Lepisosteus oculatus: one gene and its partner. The protein of the gene in region 1 interacts with the protein of each later gene in a biochemical or structural test. Links are inferred from orthologs where the notes say so. Each region holds a gene or a part of one and is shown in the gene's direction. Other genes may lie near its edges.

Region 1 (7,912 bases):
CTCTGGGTGCTCCGCAAATACATATGGGCGGGCAAGGCCTTTGTGTGAGAGTCTGTGTTTGTGTCAGTGTGTCCTGTCCAGGGTGTACCCCGCCTTGTGCCCATGGCTAACCAGGGATAGACTCTGGCTCCCCTGCAACTCCGTTTTGGATACAGAGATCAGAAAATGGATGAATAGTAAAACTGACAGAGCAGCACATATTAGTGTCATGCGCTTCTGTCTTTTTCAGGAACTGCAGGCTCTTGAATAACAATAGCAATACCAAGTGGTACATCTTTCAAGACTTTTTATTTTGAATAAATTTGGTTTGTGATGTTATAAATTACATCTAGTATTTAAACCTCCAGTGAATCTCTTTATACTGTGGTGTCTAATCTGCTGCCTTGTATTTAGGCCTGTTTGTATGGAGCAGCGCAGTAATGTCACAGGGGGCTTGTGTGTTGTTCCCCAGAAATATCTGAGTCAGGAGCCAAATGTCTGTGGCAGCTCATTCTCCTGCAGGATTTTAATGCTGTGGCGAAAGGAATGACACAATTTGAAATTGTGTTCAGATTTGCAAATGATTAAATCCACCAGTTGAAAATGGGGGAAAATCATTTTTATTTTAAATTTAAAAAGCTGTTTCGTTGAGAATGTGTACCTTAACAAGAACGTGACTTTTCCAGGTAAGGGAGCAGTGTACAGTTTTGATCCAGTAGGTTCTTATCAAAGAGATGCTTACAAGGCTGGAGGTTCAGCAAGTGCCATGCTGCAGCCCCTCCTCGATAACCAGGTACAGTTCCTGTGGAAAGCAGTGTTCTTGCACTCTGTTCCCCATAAGGCTGATTTATTGTTGACCATGTGAAGTTTGATCTCATGTGTTGCATGGGCATTAACTTCGATTCAGTCAATATTCTTAACAATATTACAGGCATTAAACTAATTCTGATATGACTTCATGATGTTTACTGCAGCTGGGAAAAGGAAGAAACTTTAATTGAATTTTTAGAGAAATAATAATTAAAAAATAGACTTGTTACTATGAATGCAAAATTATTTTTGTTTAATCAGACATTGTTGTTCTGTGCAGTTGATACATTTGATGAATGAAATGGTTTTCAAATCTGAATCTTTTGGGTCTAAGGGTAGTGTTTATCAAATTCCCTTCAGTTCTTCACTGTATGGGCATTTAACTAGCAGATCATATGGTCATGTACTGTTTTTATATATTACAATATTGCACTGAGGACAACTGCTGTATAGGATTTTTACTGGACTTCAGTAGAGGGCAGCTTCCTTATGGCGGTGTATGATTTTAAATGCCTTTTACTCCTCTCTAGATTGGCTTCAAGAACATGGAGAATGTGGAGCACTTGCCTCTGACCTTGGAGAAGGCTGTTCAGCTTGTCAAGGATGTCTTCATCTCAGCAGCTGAGAGAGATGTGTACACAGGTGATGCTCTTAAAATCTGCATTGTCACCAAGGAGGGCATCAAGGAAGAGACTGTCCCACTCCGAAAAGATTGAGAATAAACTTGTACCACTTTCCTTCAGAAATGTTTAATGAAAGTGTATTAATTTTTTACACTGTCATCTTGTGTAGTAAATAAAGAGGTATGGTATGTATATTTTCTATTACAAGGAAGTACTCCTTTCTGTATTTAAACTGACCCTAACTTTGTTTTTAAACAAAAATGTAAACCAATTTAATAGTTTGCCAGGTATGTTTCATGTCATTTTGCGCTGAAACATCCATATGTTCTATTCCATTAGCTAAAACTATAATTTTCCACATTCTAAAAACTCCATTGATCTAAAATCAATCATTGATATCTAAATAAACCTCTGCAGTTTCCCTATAATTATTTTTGTATCTGGAGTGCGTGTTCCTGATTTTGAAATAACCAAACTATCCATGCGATACGGATTATTTAGTAATGAACATTTTTATTTCTGGAACCAATGCAGGTTCTGACAGTCAGTGTCGATAGGCTTTCGACATCACTATACGGCAGCAGCTGACAAGTTGGGAAAAGTTAAAGAGGTACAGTTAAGCCATAAAATTATGTAATCTAAGAGCGGAGTTGGAAAAATGCAAACACATGGGCTCTCTAGTATTGAAGTTGGGCACCCCTGCTTTAGTTAGAACCAAGGACTCCACTGCTGCTGTTCAATAATGTAAATGAATTTATATTATTCATGTGATTACATTATTACTGTAAGAGTGATTTTTAATATGCAGCATGAATTTGCATAAGTCCTTTAAATGCACATAAAGAATTGCATGGATCCAAAGGCCACAGAAACACTGCTTGAAGTATTGGGTTTGTAATTAGGGGTCTTGAATTAAGTGTGGTTTACAGATTATAAGGGGTTGGGGGTTGGGCTGTAGTATAATTCTGGATCTGTAATAAAAGAGAGCCTCAAATTGAATAGCCCTGCTCTGTAGCTCATTAGCAATTTAAAGTGAGCAAAGTGGTCTTGAGTCGTGGAAAAAGACAGTTTTCTGAGAACCCTCCGGAGTGTTCTGATGGACTGCTTAAATCCTCGTATAAATGAGTTTTTATCAGTTGCTGTCTCGGAAGGGCCATGTCTGGATCAGGGTGGGCTCTCCTCCAGCAGCCCGACAGAGAACTTCCGGGCGATGTTGTGCAGCGTGCAACAGGTGTAACGAATACCCCCCTGTGTTTAACCCGAGTTCTCCTTCAGCTCAGCTGGCAAGCTCCCTGTTGCATGACACCAGAGACCAGGGTTCATGAGAGACGAACTGGCAGGGCAGGAGGGGCAAGGGCGGAGACCCCCAGAACCCTTACACGGGCATTGATAATCTCAGTGGCCCTGGTGGGCGTCTGTTTCTGATTGCACCCGTAATCTCAGTTTGAGGGCACCAGATGTCCTCTGGATAACTATGGGTCTTGTCATGGGCTCTGTTGTATCGCCCTTCCGCCTGATCAGCTGGATCCGACACGGGTGAGGAGGTGCTTCTGCAAAAAGCAACTTCTGCTGTCTAAAAGCAAATGAGATGCTAATCGGAGAGGTGATTATGTATCGGTGTAAATCAGGCAAGTGGATCCTTTTTAAAGGCAAACCCTAGGCCTAAACCAACAGCAGGTAAGCCAAGGCAAATATCATAAAAAGCAATCTAGACATTTACTGCACAGAGTGAAAACAAAGCTAGAAGACAAGCATGACAAAACAATAAAGCACACAACCCTGTAAAACCAGCCTTGGGTCAACCAAGGCGTGAGGGTACCCCCAAAAACTACTCGGTTTAATTTAAAAAGTACTCAGGTTCATTAGGGCCTGTGGGGTACCCCAAACCACAGAGACTTCACCCCTAAACATAGCAATGAGTAGTTAAAATTATTCTGACAACAGTCTTTCAATTGGTTTTTCCTGATGATATGCAGAAAGGCTTCATCGGGATTTTGTTTTAAAATGTTCAGAGAAGTCCAAGACTGGTTATGTTGACTTCCTTTCGGACGAATGAGTGGATCAACCTTGCCACTCAATCAACACCAGCAAGCCATCCATCATCTCCACAAATGCCAGCCTGGAACTCTTTGCTTATGGAGGACGGTTCCCAAAAAGTTGCAACACTGAGTAAATTACTGTGCGAGTCGCAAACCATCTGGACTGATGGACCGGTAGGTGTTTGTACTCATGAAAACGAACTCTCTTTCTACGGGCGCTGTGGTGCGCACTTGAGTGCAGCCCAGCTCTAGGCGACACCCGAGCTGCTCTGCCCTGTCAGGCAAGACTGGGGAAACTGTGGTCGCGGCTGGGCTGACGGAGGACTGGGGCGTCCCCGCAACCTCCGCCATGTGTCTGCAGGGACCCGTTTGCACAGGAGCTCAGAGCCGCGAGCAGGGCTGTCCCGCACGCAGCCCACAGAGACAACGGAGACGTGGATAAGGGGGGGTGTGGGAGTAGAGAAATGGAAGTGGTCGAAAAAAAATTCATTGTCGAAGGTGTCTAGCCCGGACCTGGGGATACTCCGGCTGACCACTCTGTCCACCTCGTCTTGCACAGTGAACCACACTGCAGCCTCATGTGACATTTTCAATAAGACTCTCTCGCTACAAACGATTGTGTGTGCCCGTCTCGTATTTAGGATTTCGTTCAGATTGTTACACCATATCGCAAACACCATTTTTACACCCATCTTTACATCAATAATTGAATTCAACACTCATTTCCCTGCACGACCCAGTTTCTGCCTGCGCACCCGATGACACAGAAAACAACGAGAAGGATCGCCCTGCTTCCAATGAGCGCCGCATTAAAATTAGTGCCCAAAGCACAAATCACAAAATCCTGTTTATCCGTATGCTTTAGATTAGCGAAATCCAAATGTTCTGCACACAATTTAAAAATGGTTATTTACCGTATTATTACGTATATACACGACTGATATAATTCCAAGTACTAAACACTCAAGTTTTGCTTTAGATAAATCAATAATAACTAAGGCACTCCTTCCAGTATAAAACTGTCGGCCCATACCCTGCTGTGTCCTAGTAGAAAGCTGTATTTAGTTGACCTCAAAATTTTATAAACACACGAGAGACGTCTGTATATGAAATCATGTACAGAATCACACTCTTTGACATACTGATTGAAACTCATAAGGATTTAAAAAAAAGGATTAAAAAAATTATATTTAAGACCAATTATCTGAAAAACAAATGACCACCAGACTTGTTATGTCTCCTGTATTTTAAAACACCTAGGCAATTACTCTTAAACCCTGTTCACATATAGCGACCACCATCACATTTTTAGTTTTGCACGGCTGTTCCGGAAGGACAACTCGGCGCTACAGGAAGTTTGCGCGCAGTTTGCTGGGAGAGAAGGAGGGTTTTTTTTGCGGTAGTGAGCGGTCGAAAAAACAAGAGCTGCTGCAGAGACAGAGGCGTAAAAAGGTGAGGGGAAACGGGACGAAGGGGCTAACCGTTTATTTTCTGTGTTTGGGAGACAGTAATGAGCCTAGATAGCGAGGGTGTGTTTATTTTGCGAAGGAATGTCTCGCTACACGTCGGGGCCGTCGGGTACCAGAAGGAAATTGTATGTGTGTGAGCGGGATTATTTTGCAATTAATTTGTTTAAAATGTATTTGGGTATAACTGCCAAGTCATTTATAAACAGCCCTAAAATGAATTTTACGCCTTCAAACGTAAAAGATACGTGCTCGCGAAGATTGTATGTTTGTTGCGGTCAGCTATAATTTTTAACTCGCTTTTTTATTTATAGATAATTATGCACTGAGCGTTGTTTTATAGTGCATTTGTTCTTTATCTCGCATATCTGCAGTGCCCCATACTAGGAAAGTAACGGCTCTGATTTAAAATCATTTAAACCCATGATTTAAAGACTAACTGGCATGGTTACTTAAGGTGCATGGTTTTGCACTTCGTCAACTACGACACAAAGGCGATACTACAGCGGTGGCGAAGAGAGGTTTCTCGATGAATAAATCTGTTAATATGCGCTGGTCCAACACTGCTGTAATGTCCTTCTGCAATGTCTACATCAGCTCCAGAACCTGGGTGCTGGAAAACCTAGTTGCATTAGTGTCTCCGATTTAGCAGGTGGGTAAGTAAGAGTTAAGTAAGAACTGGCTTTGGTGCCAACATTTCGACACTGCTGTCAGGACCGTGTTTTGGTGGAGGGCTGGGTCTCGTTGCTTCGCGTTGTCGTTGAACTGCGCTCTGCCCGGCTCGGTCTTCTGCTGTCAAAGCTGCAAACTATTTATTAGAGGACTAAGCAAGACAATTATTAGTCGAGTTCATTGAAGAGTGTTATCAAATGGAATGAAGATCGGCAGACACGGTGGGTCCCCAAGACCAGTATAAAAAAACTCAGGCAGTGCCATATATCCTTCTGATGGGACATTTAACTGAGATGTTTAACCATCAGGGGTTCCAGCCTGAGCTGTCAGTTACATCAAAGGCCTAATTATTTAACTGCATAGGTGTAATACCTGTAGCTTGGTGTAATGTGTGACTATACCCTGTATAGTACATTACCTTAATGTACTGAGTGTGTTGAGTCATCAACTGTAAAAAGCCTTAAGTAACATCCTGGTTTTTGTCCAGGATGACTAAAAAAATAAGAAAATAATGACCTTTTATAATTTAGTGCTTGGGGATGTAAACAAATCCATCTACCCATTTCCTAAACTGCCTCTTCCAGTTTGGGGTCAGGGGGGAGCCAGAGCCTATCCTGCCCAGAAACAGGTGTATGACGGGGTACACCCTGGATGGGACACCAGTCCATCACAGGGCACAGACAGACACAAACGCACACACTCGCACCTGGGCCAATTTTCCAAGAAGCCAATTAACCCACCAGCATTTGTACTGTGGGAAGAAAGCCAATGTGAATACAGGGAGAACATACCATTGTAACCATCGTAGTAATAATAATTGCTTACACTTATATAGAGCTTTTCTGGACACTCCACTCAAAGCGCTTTACAGGTAATGGGGGATCCCCTCCACCACCACCAGTGTGCAGCCCCACCTGGATGATGTGACGGCAGCCATAGTGCGCCAGAACGCTCACCACACACCAGCTCTCAGTGGGGAGGAGAGCAGAGTGATGAAGCCAATTCATAGATGGAGATTATTATTAGGAGGCCATGATTGGTAAGGGCCAATAGGAAATTTGGCCAGGGGTTACACGCCTACTCTCTTCGAGAAACGCCCTGGGATTTTTAATGACCGCAAAGAGTCAGAACCTCGGTTTTCATCCGAAGGACGGCGCCTGTTTACAGTATAGTGTCCCCCTCACTATACTGGGGCATTAGGATCCACATGGACCGCAGGGTGAGCGCCCCCTGCCGGCCCCACTAACACCTCTTCCAGCAGCAACCTTAGTTTTTCCCAGGAGGTCTCCCATCCAGGTACTGGCCAGGCTCACACCTGCTGAGCTCCAGTGGGCTGCCAGTTGTGAGTTGCAGAGTGACATGGCTTCTAGGTTAATCTAATGCACAAATCATTGTACACTAGTGCTGTACACATCAGAACCTGGAGGACCTCCAGGTCTTTCTGGTTTTCTTTCAGGATGACATTGTGATTATCTAGGCAGATAGAGCTGTAGCTGATTAAGATATTCTGTTAATTTCATAAGAGCATTTACGGAGTTGTTGATGCACATGGACCCCAAAACCTTTTCTGCACTCATTCAGGTGTATGGATTGTATGTAATTGGGTCTTTGGAGAACACAAAATGGCCTTTATTGGTTGGAGGGTTTGATAAAGTGTTCTCACATGTACCTGTACCTAAATAATGTATTACTTCGTGAGAACTGTTTAGACACAAAAATGCCAGAACCACTTAATTAAGCATGTTGAGGAGATACTGAATGGAGATTTCTTGGCAGTATTTTCTAAAACAAAATCTGAGTACAGAATTATGTGGACAAGCTATTTAATGGTCAAATCAAGCTGGAAAATCAATTGAAGGGACCACTTTGCCTGATTAAGATAGCAAGTGGAGCAAACACCAGAAGAGACAGACCTCCCCCCAGTCACGAGCTGAGAACCACTTCTCTGTACTGCACCAGTTGTGTTAAAATGCTTAATGTATCTCACTCATACAATGGCCAACGTGTCAAGATAAAACATTTCTTTGGAAGTTGTCTCATCCAAAAAATCTTACATCTTTTACTTTCCGTAACTAAGAGGTGCATTGTTAGAACTTGTCCTTCTCTGTTTGGAACATCGTGCGATGTATTTTGTTTCCTCTTATTTCAGGTTTCGAAGAGGCCCTTTGTCAGGACGTCTCAACTGAATGACTGGTGTTGGCTGCAGTTAGTTTAGTTGCGGACAAAAGGTGGAAGAAGCCCTTCAGAGGTGTTTCTCTGGTGACGCTTGGCTCGGGAGAGAATGGAACAGAACAACAGCTTGCCCCCATATGCACAAGGCCTG
Region 2 (8,019 bases), on another chromosome or scaffold:
GGGTCTTTCACGGACATACAGTCCTTCCTCCTCCAGAACACGTTTGTTCATCTTTGCTGGTAATTTTGCACTGCAACTAACTAAACACCGTCTGATATGTTTTTTTCACACAAATATTATTCGATAAATGAATAGTTATTTCACTATCTAAATTCAGTTTTTAACAAAAAATACTATATTCTCCAGACATCTGTTTTTCAGAGACAGGTGAGTACTGTATATAAGGTATCGCTTTTTTCATTTTTACATTAGAATTTCTTATCAACATACATTATGATATTTTTAGCCTTCCAATTGGCATGTCAAGCATTTTTTAAATCTAGTCATATGCTACAATGTACAAAATCCTATCAAGCCAAAAAACATTTTCCAACAGTGTTATACCGAGTTACAGTTACAATCAACAAATCTAATGATTTAACATGATTCGCCAAAAATAAAAATCTTTTCAATATCGTACCAGGTGAATCACTAGGCACAAAGACACAGGACAGACCAGCTGTATCATCTGCCATTTGGATAGGCAACAGGAACTCATGAAGATCATCCTTCTCAACAAAGGGAATTGAGTCTTCTGATATCTTGTGGTGAGTTCTTATCTTTGTAAAAAATATAGCATTGATGACTTTGTATTAATTGTCAAGCATATGAATTCATTGATTGACTGATTACATTTACAACAATTACATTTAACCAGATGTCAGAACTGACTTAATTTAATTTAAAGCATCATAATAAAATTAATTCTGTCATTTGAAATGATGTGTGCCTAAATAGTAAAAAGGCATCAATAACAGGCATTGACTACATTACACTTTAAAAAATACTGTTTGTGGCATCAGAAATCAAGATTGACTTAATGGCACTGTGAAATATGCAATAATAATTAAGCAGCACTAAAAGGTTAGGATTTTAAACTGAACATACTAACTAATAATGAAGAAAGGCCAACAGCTGGGAATCCATGTGAAATCTCATCAAAATTACAGGAAAAGAAAAAATAATCTTCATTTCTTAAAGTAATGACTGAGAATGAAAAAGAAAGTAACGATTGGTTTAAATCCTAATTTTAAAGTATGTTATATTGACATTAATTACAGGGATAGTTATCTGTGATTACAAGGGAAATTAACAATATAAACATTTTCATTCATTAAAATATTTTAAAATTAAAACTTCAGTGAAATATTTAATGCAATGCATTTTTTTACATAGAGCCAAATGAGGCAGTGAGAAATCTTCATTCTAATATTTTTTTATCTTTACGATATGTGTAGTCCATTCTATTTAAGACCTAACATGTTTATGTCATCTCAAACTGTCGTGAATGACATTTCTTTGGAAATATAAATTTTTCTTCAAACAATATCCAAGGTAACTTTTTTTTTTACATATTGAGACCAAACTTGAAAGCAACATGCTAAAGAAGATGTTGCTGGTGCATTGTATGATCTTAAGATAGCATCCCATGATTTAAATAACATGCTTTACACCAGGGGTGTATCCAGTCTTGGTTTATTTTCTGCTAAGACTACCTGCTTCTTCAGGAATCCTTCACTCAGCTACCCTGCTGCCTACCATCTGAAAGTGCTGCCTGCTTCTTGAGGCAGCCTCTGCTCTGCTTCTCTACAGTGTTGTTCCTTTGCCACCTCTCATCTTCTCTCAGATATTCTAGCCTGCCTGATACACTTCTCCAGTCTGTCTTCTGTGTTGCACTGCTATCTCAGCATTCTGAGAACTTCTAGAGACTCATAGAGTTCTAGGCTTGCATTTTGCCTTGACAGATAAACACGGCACTGTTCTGCATGTCCACGGATTAACAATCTAAGCATACTAATGGCCCTTTTAATTGCTTCCATTATTTGTTTTGATAAGCACAAAGTAAAATCATGTTGAGCACCAGATATTCCATAGCATTCTTCTTTCACTACAGTCATTCCTATCTCTCTCAAAAGTTTCACTAGGCCATATCTCTCTAGATAAAACTAGCTTTGCAATGAGAGCTGATCATTTTGGTGTTCCCCAGGGCTCTATCTAGGGACCCTGGCAGTTGGTTGTACATATCACCACTTGGTGACATCAATTAAATACAAACTCAGCTTTCATTCTTTGCTAATGAGACTCTATGTATTTTAGACCCATCTGACACAGAGTTGCTTGTCTTCACAGAAGATTTAACTGGAATCAAGTCAGTTCTGACATCTGGTTAAACTTAAAACTGGAAATAGAGATTCAGTAGCTCAGATTCAGATTTAAATTTAGTAGATCTAAGTGTTATTTATTACCATAATGTAATCAAATTTGCATAACCTTTGAAGACAATTCCATTCTCCTGTGTTAAGAATTTGTGTGCCATTTTTTACTCTGAGCCTTCTTTTTATTTAAATATTAAGTCTGTAATAATTCTAGTTCTTGCTTGTACTCGGTTCTCATAAACACTTTTTATTTTACATCTTAGTTTATGAGTTAATCTTTCATTTGAAGCTTTACAAAATATTTTCTGGAAATCTAAATACAGTATATCATGTCAAATATTGTATTTATTATTTTTTGTATTTATTACTGATGCTTACACTTTAACAATTAACAGGTTACAAGTTAATTAAAAAGACTTTTCCAAAAGTCATGCTATCTCCTAGAATGATAAATGGATGTATCATTCTTTTCAAAGAATGGAGAGGAACCTGTCTTAAATGTCTACTGGACGATGCCAGCTAGTGGTTTATGAATAACAATCCTTATTTCTTTGAGTGCAATCTTTGTGATTGATAAAAGCATTTCTAGACTTTATTATTCTTCAGCCACTCTTATGCTAAAATTATTCAAACAATATTCAGAAGTTGACTTACATTTTTACCCTCCATTTTAACTCTTGGTCTGTGTCTCAAGGCTGCCTTTATCTTTGTCTAAGGGAAGCGTCATGTATATCTAAAGAATACAACACAACATAAATTTAATAAAGTAGAATACATATAAATATCCCTTTCAATGAACAGATTTAAGTTGACACTCATTACAACTACTACGCCAAGATTTATTTACTATTTCAATATAAATTTTCCTGAGTGAAAAATGAATCTCCATTTGAGCAGAAACTTTTTTTAATATTCAGAATTATGTTTTACAAATAATGAATTTTTTGGAAGTAAAGGACTTAATGTGAATACATTGACTGTATGTGAAAACCACAATTAACTGTCAATATTTTATTAATACGTTCATGTAAGGCCTTCTTCTGGGTACTTTTGATTATATCATTTTTCCATCTGTCCATTTCACAACCTATTCTTCTAATCCATGTTATATGAGCTGTAAAATATCAGCAATTTGTTATTAAAGGCAACTTTCCCATTTTAGTCTGCATGGCAACTGAAACGGGGAAAACTTCGTTTTCGTCATAACATTTTTGTGAGAAACTACAGAAGCGTGATAGAATGTGGTATATAAAAATCAAACTCGACTGCCCCCTGATGGTGTATATGAAAATAAAAACAATTCGTATTGTATTTTATTACATGGATTGACCAACAGTACACTGAAAAGAAATAAAAAAATATGTTATACTTACTCTGAGTTAATTATTTCAGTGCTGAGAAAGGAAAGTTATTGAGTAGCACATTTTCCAGCTAATATCTGATTCAAATAATGCACGAGAGGGTTCGTTTCCAACGAATTACAGAATAACGTTATTATTGTAGTTGCCACGTAGTTTAGTAAGATCATTTTAAGGTCATATTTAGTTCCAAACAGTTTGAAGGAGCATAATAAATGTTTAAGGGAATTACTGTATTTCAATAGGAATACGAAATACTTTTATTCGGTGAATTTGAGCTGCTTAAGGTATTGTATATGCACGGGGCCAGATAATAATTTCATGGGGGTACATGTCAGGAATTTTGCTAACAAGAAAAACATTAACAGAGATAAAGATGCATGGTTTTACAGAAATACCTATCCCTCTAGTAAGCTGTAATTCAAGTAATATCACAACAGCTTCGTATGAATTTGATTTGAACTGACCATTTGTCATCATAACGAAACAACGGGAAGAATTAATAAATCTATAATGCATCAAAATGAACATATTACATAATTATATAAATACAGTAATGATAAACCAATGTAATATGCCCTCATTGAGCCTGGGCGTTTATATAGATTATGTAAGTTATTGCTTCCATATATATAAAGTCATTGGGACTTTTATCAATAACAAAGGTCTGTTATTGGCGATTCAGTAATTTACTGGCGATGCAGGTCGTATTTGTTAGTAATGCAATCTTTTGGGTTGCAATCTGTTGCATCAAGGACCTGATCTGCATTTGTTAACAACAATACAGTGCTGGGTTCCTGGCTGAAAACAGTTAATTCTACAAGAAGCTGGAGTGCGCGATGTGACATGGTATTTCTAAGTGTTGTAACTGCGATATGATCTGAAGGGACGTAGAAAACATTATGAAACTAGTCTAAAGGGCTCTTGGAAAAAACACAAAGAATAGTCATGTGATTAAACAATACTTTTTTTAATCACTGAATGCACCACTAACAGTGTAAAGAGCAGTGAAGGGAAGGCAAACTAAAGTTCACTTTTATGTTCTGAATTATTTTCTTGAACTCACAGTATTTCATTAGTATGAAGTTTATAGGTACCCGTAATTGTGTGTAAGATTAGATATAAGCAACCAAAACAAAAAATAAAAACTTCATAAAAAGCTGAGAAATTAATGCCAAGCTGGTCTCCTTGTCCGCTATTCCTTCCACTAGAAAACACGCCCCCGGCATGATGTGTAACTGAGAGGGTGGGGTCAGAGTTGACAGAGGCGGGGTTTATTTCTTTCGGTTTCCTGCCCTGGTCTCTTCCTGCTACTCGCTTACCTGTAAAACGTGCCCTGTGATTGGCCATCCGTAGTTCATGTAACCAATCACGCTCCGGCTACCATGGAGGAAGGAATAAATGCAAGATGGCTCCTCATATAAAACCAGACTCCTGGGTTCTCTTTAGTGAACAACAAAATTATTGTTTATTCCTTATTCGAATAAAATACCTTTCCGGATGCAGTTCAGCGGGATAATCTAAGCTTTAAGACTAATATAAATGTATTGTAAGGCGTTACGTTATAGTGCGAGGCAATCTGGTTAAACGGGGGAGCTTTTATGAAGCTATGAATTAAAAGCACCCTTTCGTCAGTCTGGCTTTGGATGGTGAGCGAAAGAGCTGGGCCTCTCCGAAGCCACCGGATCTTTTGAGATTAGAAAACCAAGGCAATAGGAAATAGATGGTTTATTTTTGTGGGTAGACAGACCACGCAAGATTACAGCTTTGCTCTTAATTCACCAACATGGCCGTATCAAGGTGGGATTGTTTTACATTTTATAAATTGAGTAACAATAGAATGCTCTTGTCGTCAGGCCCAGCTCGACTCCAGTCTTGTTACAAGTACAGTAATTTCGATTTTATTGTGAGTAATTAAACGCCGGTAGGACAAGGGCAGTTTCAGACGCTTTAAAGCCTATAAACATACCCCTTTTATAGGTTGTGTTACATCTGTAGTCAGCCAATCGCTGTAGACAATGAAAACACCATATATGTTTTCTTTTGCCTTCAAATTAGCTGCTTTGCTATAAATTACACAATTTGCGTTACACAGCGGGTGTTTGCTAGTGTTACAGATAAAGTGTTTATTCACTAGACCATGCATAGTATTAATTATGGAGTTTAGGAGATCACAGGAAATGATAGGTCGCTGATTTCGTTTGTCAAATCAAGAAGTCAAATGGGAGCGCTTAATTATCATTATCAATGTTGCAGTTAAAAGTGTCTGTAGAGGGACACATGCGATATTGTCCGAACATAAATCTTAATCTTTGCTATTTATATACGTAAATCTCCAGTCCAAAGCAGATGATAATGCCTGTTGCTCTACTGGCTGCACAGAAACCCCATGCGTGGCTGTGGCTCAAAGCTGCACACAGTACATGCTGAATAAGAGGGGGGGGAGATCGTGTAACACGTTCTTAACAAATGTCAGTCATTATATTTTTTGCGCTGATTAATAAACCACAATTTCACATTTGAAAGAACGAGTTTATATCTTTATGAACGAAGCGATATTTCGATTTAAAGGAAAATTAAGGCGTTCATGACCTATTTATATCCTAGGTTCTCTACCCCTGAGACGAATACGGAAATGAAATAGTATCTAACTTTTAATTTAAATGTACAGTAAATGCTTCTGTTTGACAGTAACTTTTTTTTAGTCCAATGTGGGGAATTGTTTGTATTTCTGCGCTAGATGTTTTCTTTTATTATGTTTTTCATTTTCATTATTCGCTTATTGTGTACTTGGCACAGTGGATGGTTGATTCAGAAAGTTTTTTTTTCCCCCATTTGTACGGGTTGGTTGTATGGGGATATATTTTAAAAACGTGCTTTAAGTTAGTGAAATACACTGTATCAATCCGGTCCGTTACACAGAATAAAACAGACATGCGGCATTTTAGGTGTGGTGAAATTGCAGGTAACAAAAGGAGCTGCAAAAAATTCTAATAATAAAAGGACTGCCTAGTGATTAAAGATTCTTTTGTATATAGTATCTTGTTTATCAAAGCATTTCCTGGTGTCACCGGATGGTTTTAAAAGTGCGCATTAATTTTATGTGCGATGTTAAAACTTTGCTCATTGATTATCTACTTTGTGCTGAAGTCCTTGGGAAGACCAAAAATATTTAGCCTTGTGGCAGTTTTCTAAGTTATGGCAAACTGAAATAATGGCAACCATGAATAAAATGTTAAGTGTTGTCTCTAGTTATCATGTCGGTAATACTCGTGAAACGAAGTTGACTGGCATTGAGAGGTCTGGCAGAAACTGTCGTTATCAGGTGGTGACAGTACTACCGCTAGCCTGCAAGTTATCAGCTATAAATGCATGAGCAAATTAATTTCTCTTTGTCATTTTTTCACCCACTGAAGATACTGAATACGTTTCTAGCATTTTAGTTTTGTTTAAAGGCAGTACTGATAATCCTCATATTTTTGGTAACATGCAAATAAAAGAAGGCAGAATTTACTTTCTCCATGCCACCTTTAAAGAGCTACAGTGCATTTTGCTGGCTTAGCATGTTGATTACAAAAGAAATATCTTTTGTTAAACAAATGAATGTTGCAAAAACATACTGTAACATTCCAGAACGTAGCATCTGTAGTAGTGTCTTATTAGAATAGATTATGATTCCTTAATGTTGACGAGATCTTCATGAATTCAGGTTTTCTTGGAAGTATGCAAGCAATTCCTGATGAGAATGTGCACTAATGCCCACATCTTTTGCTGTTGCTTTTGCTTTCAGGCTTGACCGTCTGTTCATTTTGTTGGACACTGGGACGACCCCAGTGACAAGGAAAGCAGCGGCACAGCAGCTGGGAGATGTGGTGAAGCTTCACCCACACGAGCTGAATAACCTCTTATCTAAAGTAAGTCTGGTGACCTACTGCATGTAGTTCCTGATCACAGGAAAATCAAGTGAAGGTTCGTTTTTGACTGCACTGCACTCAGGAGTATGACTTTATGGCTGATGTGAGCCTCCAGCCTTGTAGCAGTTAATTTAACTCAAAAGTCCCATTTGAGTACCAGTCTATAAATAGCTCAAGCACTGGGACTTGAAGCATTTTTTCTCCTGTTTTTAAAAACCAATGTAAATAGTTTTCTGTGACCCCGTATCATATAATGCATTTATCTTTTGTGAACTCTGAAGGTTTTAACGTATTTACGAAGTCCTAACTGGGACACACGCATCGCAGCAGGCCAAGCGGTAGAAGCCATTGTGAAAAATGTGCCTGAGTGGAATCCACCTGCGAAGCCCAAGGAAGGTATAATGTGCATCTATCACTTGTCTTCTCTTACTGACTGCTCAGGAGTCCTGCTCAGTATGTGCCAGTGTTGAGTTTTGTAACAGGCAGGTAAATTGGTGTTTAGCGAAGTGTATTTGTGAGGAAGACATGAAATGGAGTAGATTAGAGGGTTTT

What was found. The genes of interacting proteins can lie anywhere in the genome.
Region 2: the proteins of tbp (region 1) and btaf1 form a complex in vitro, tested with the Homo sapiens proteins (2 studies listed by BioGRID). The link is inferred for Lepisosteus oculatus from reciprocal best matches to the Homo sapiens genes TBP and BTAF1.

The regions. Positions count from the first base shown.
Region 1 is NC_090712.1:2,370,431-2,378,342, reverse strand, and holds the start of tbp (TATA-box-binding protein), read left to right. Parts: upstream 1-4,808; 5' UTR 4,809-4,903; intron 4,904-5,466; exon of another isoform or gene 5,467-5,569; intron 5,570-7,738; 5' UTR 7,739-7,870; coding exon 7,871-7,912. Other genes in the region: psmb1 (proteasome subunit beta type-1), read left to right, coding at 666-772, 1,320-1,505. UniProt on the Homo sapiens protein: The TFIID basal transcription factor complex plays a major role in the initiation of RNA polymerase II (Pol II)-dependent transcription.
Region 2 is NC_090699.1:23,923,992-23,932,010, reverse strand, and holds the start of btaf1 (TATA-binding protein-associated factor 172), read left to right. Parts: upstream 1-4,954; 5' UTR 4,955-5,339; coding exon 5,340-5,353; intron 5,354-7,343; coding exon 7,344-7,467; intron 7,468-7,748; coding exon 7,749-7,863; intron 7,864-8,019. Other genes in the region: protein CC2D2B, read right to left, coding at 1-80, 461-599, 2,850-2,864. UniProt on the Homo sapiens protein: Regulates transcription in association with TATA binding protein (TBP). Removes TBP from the TATA box in an ATP-dependent manner.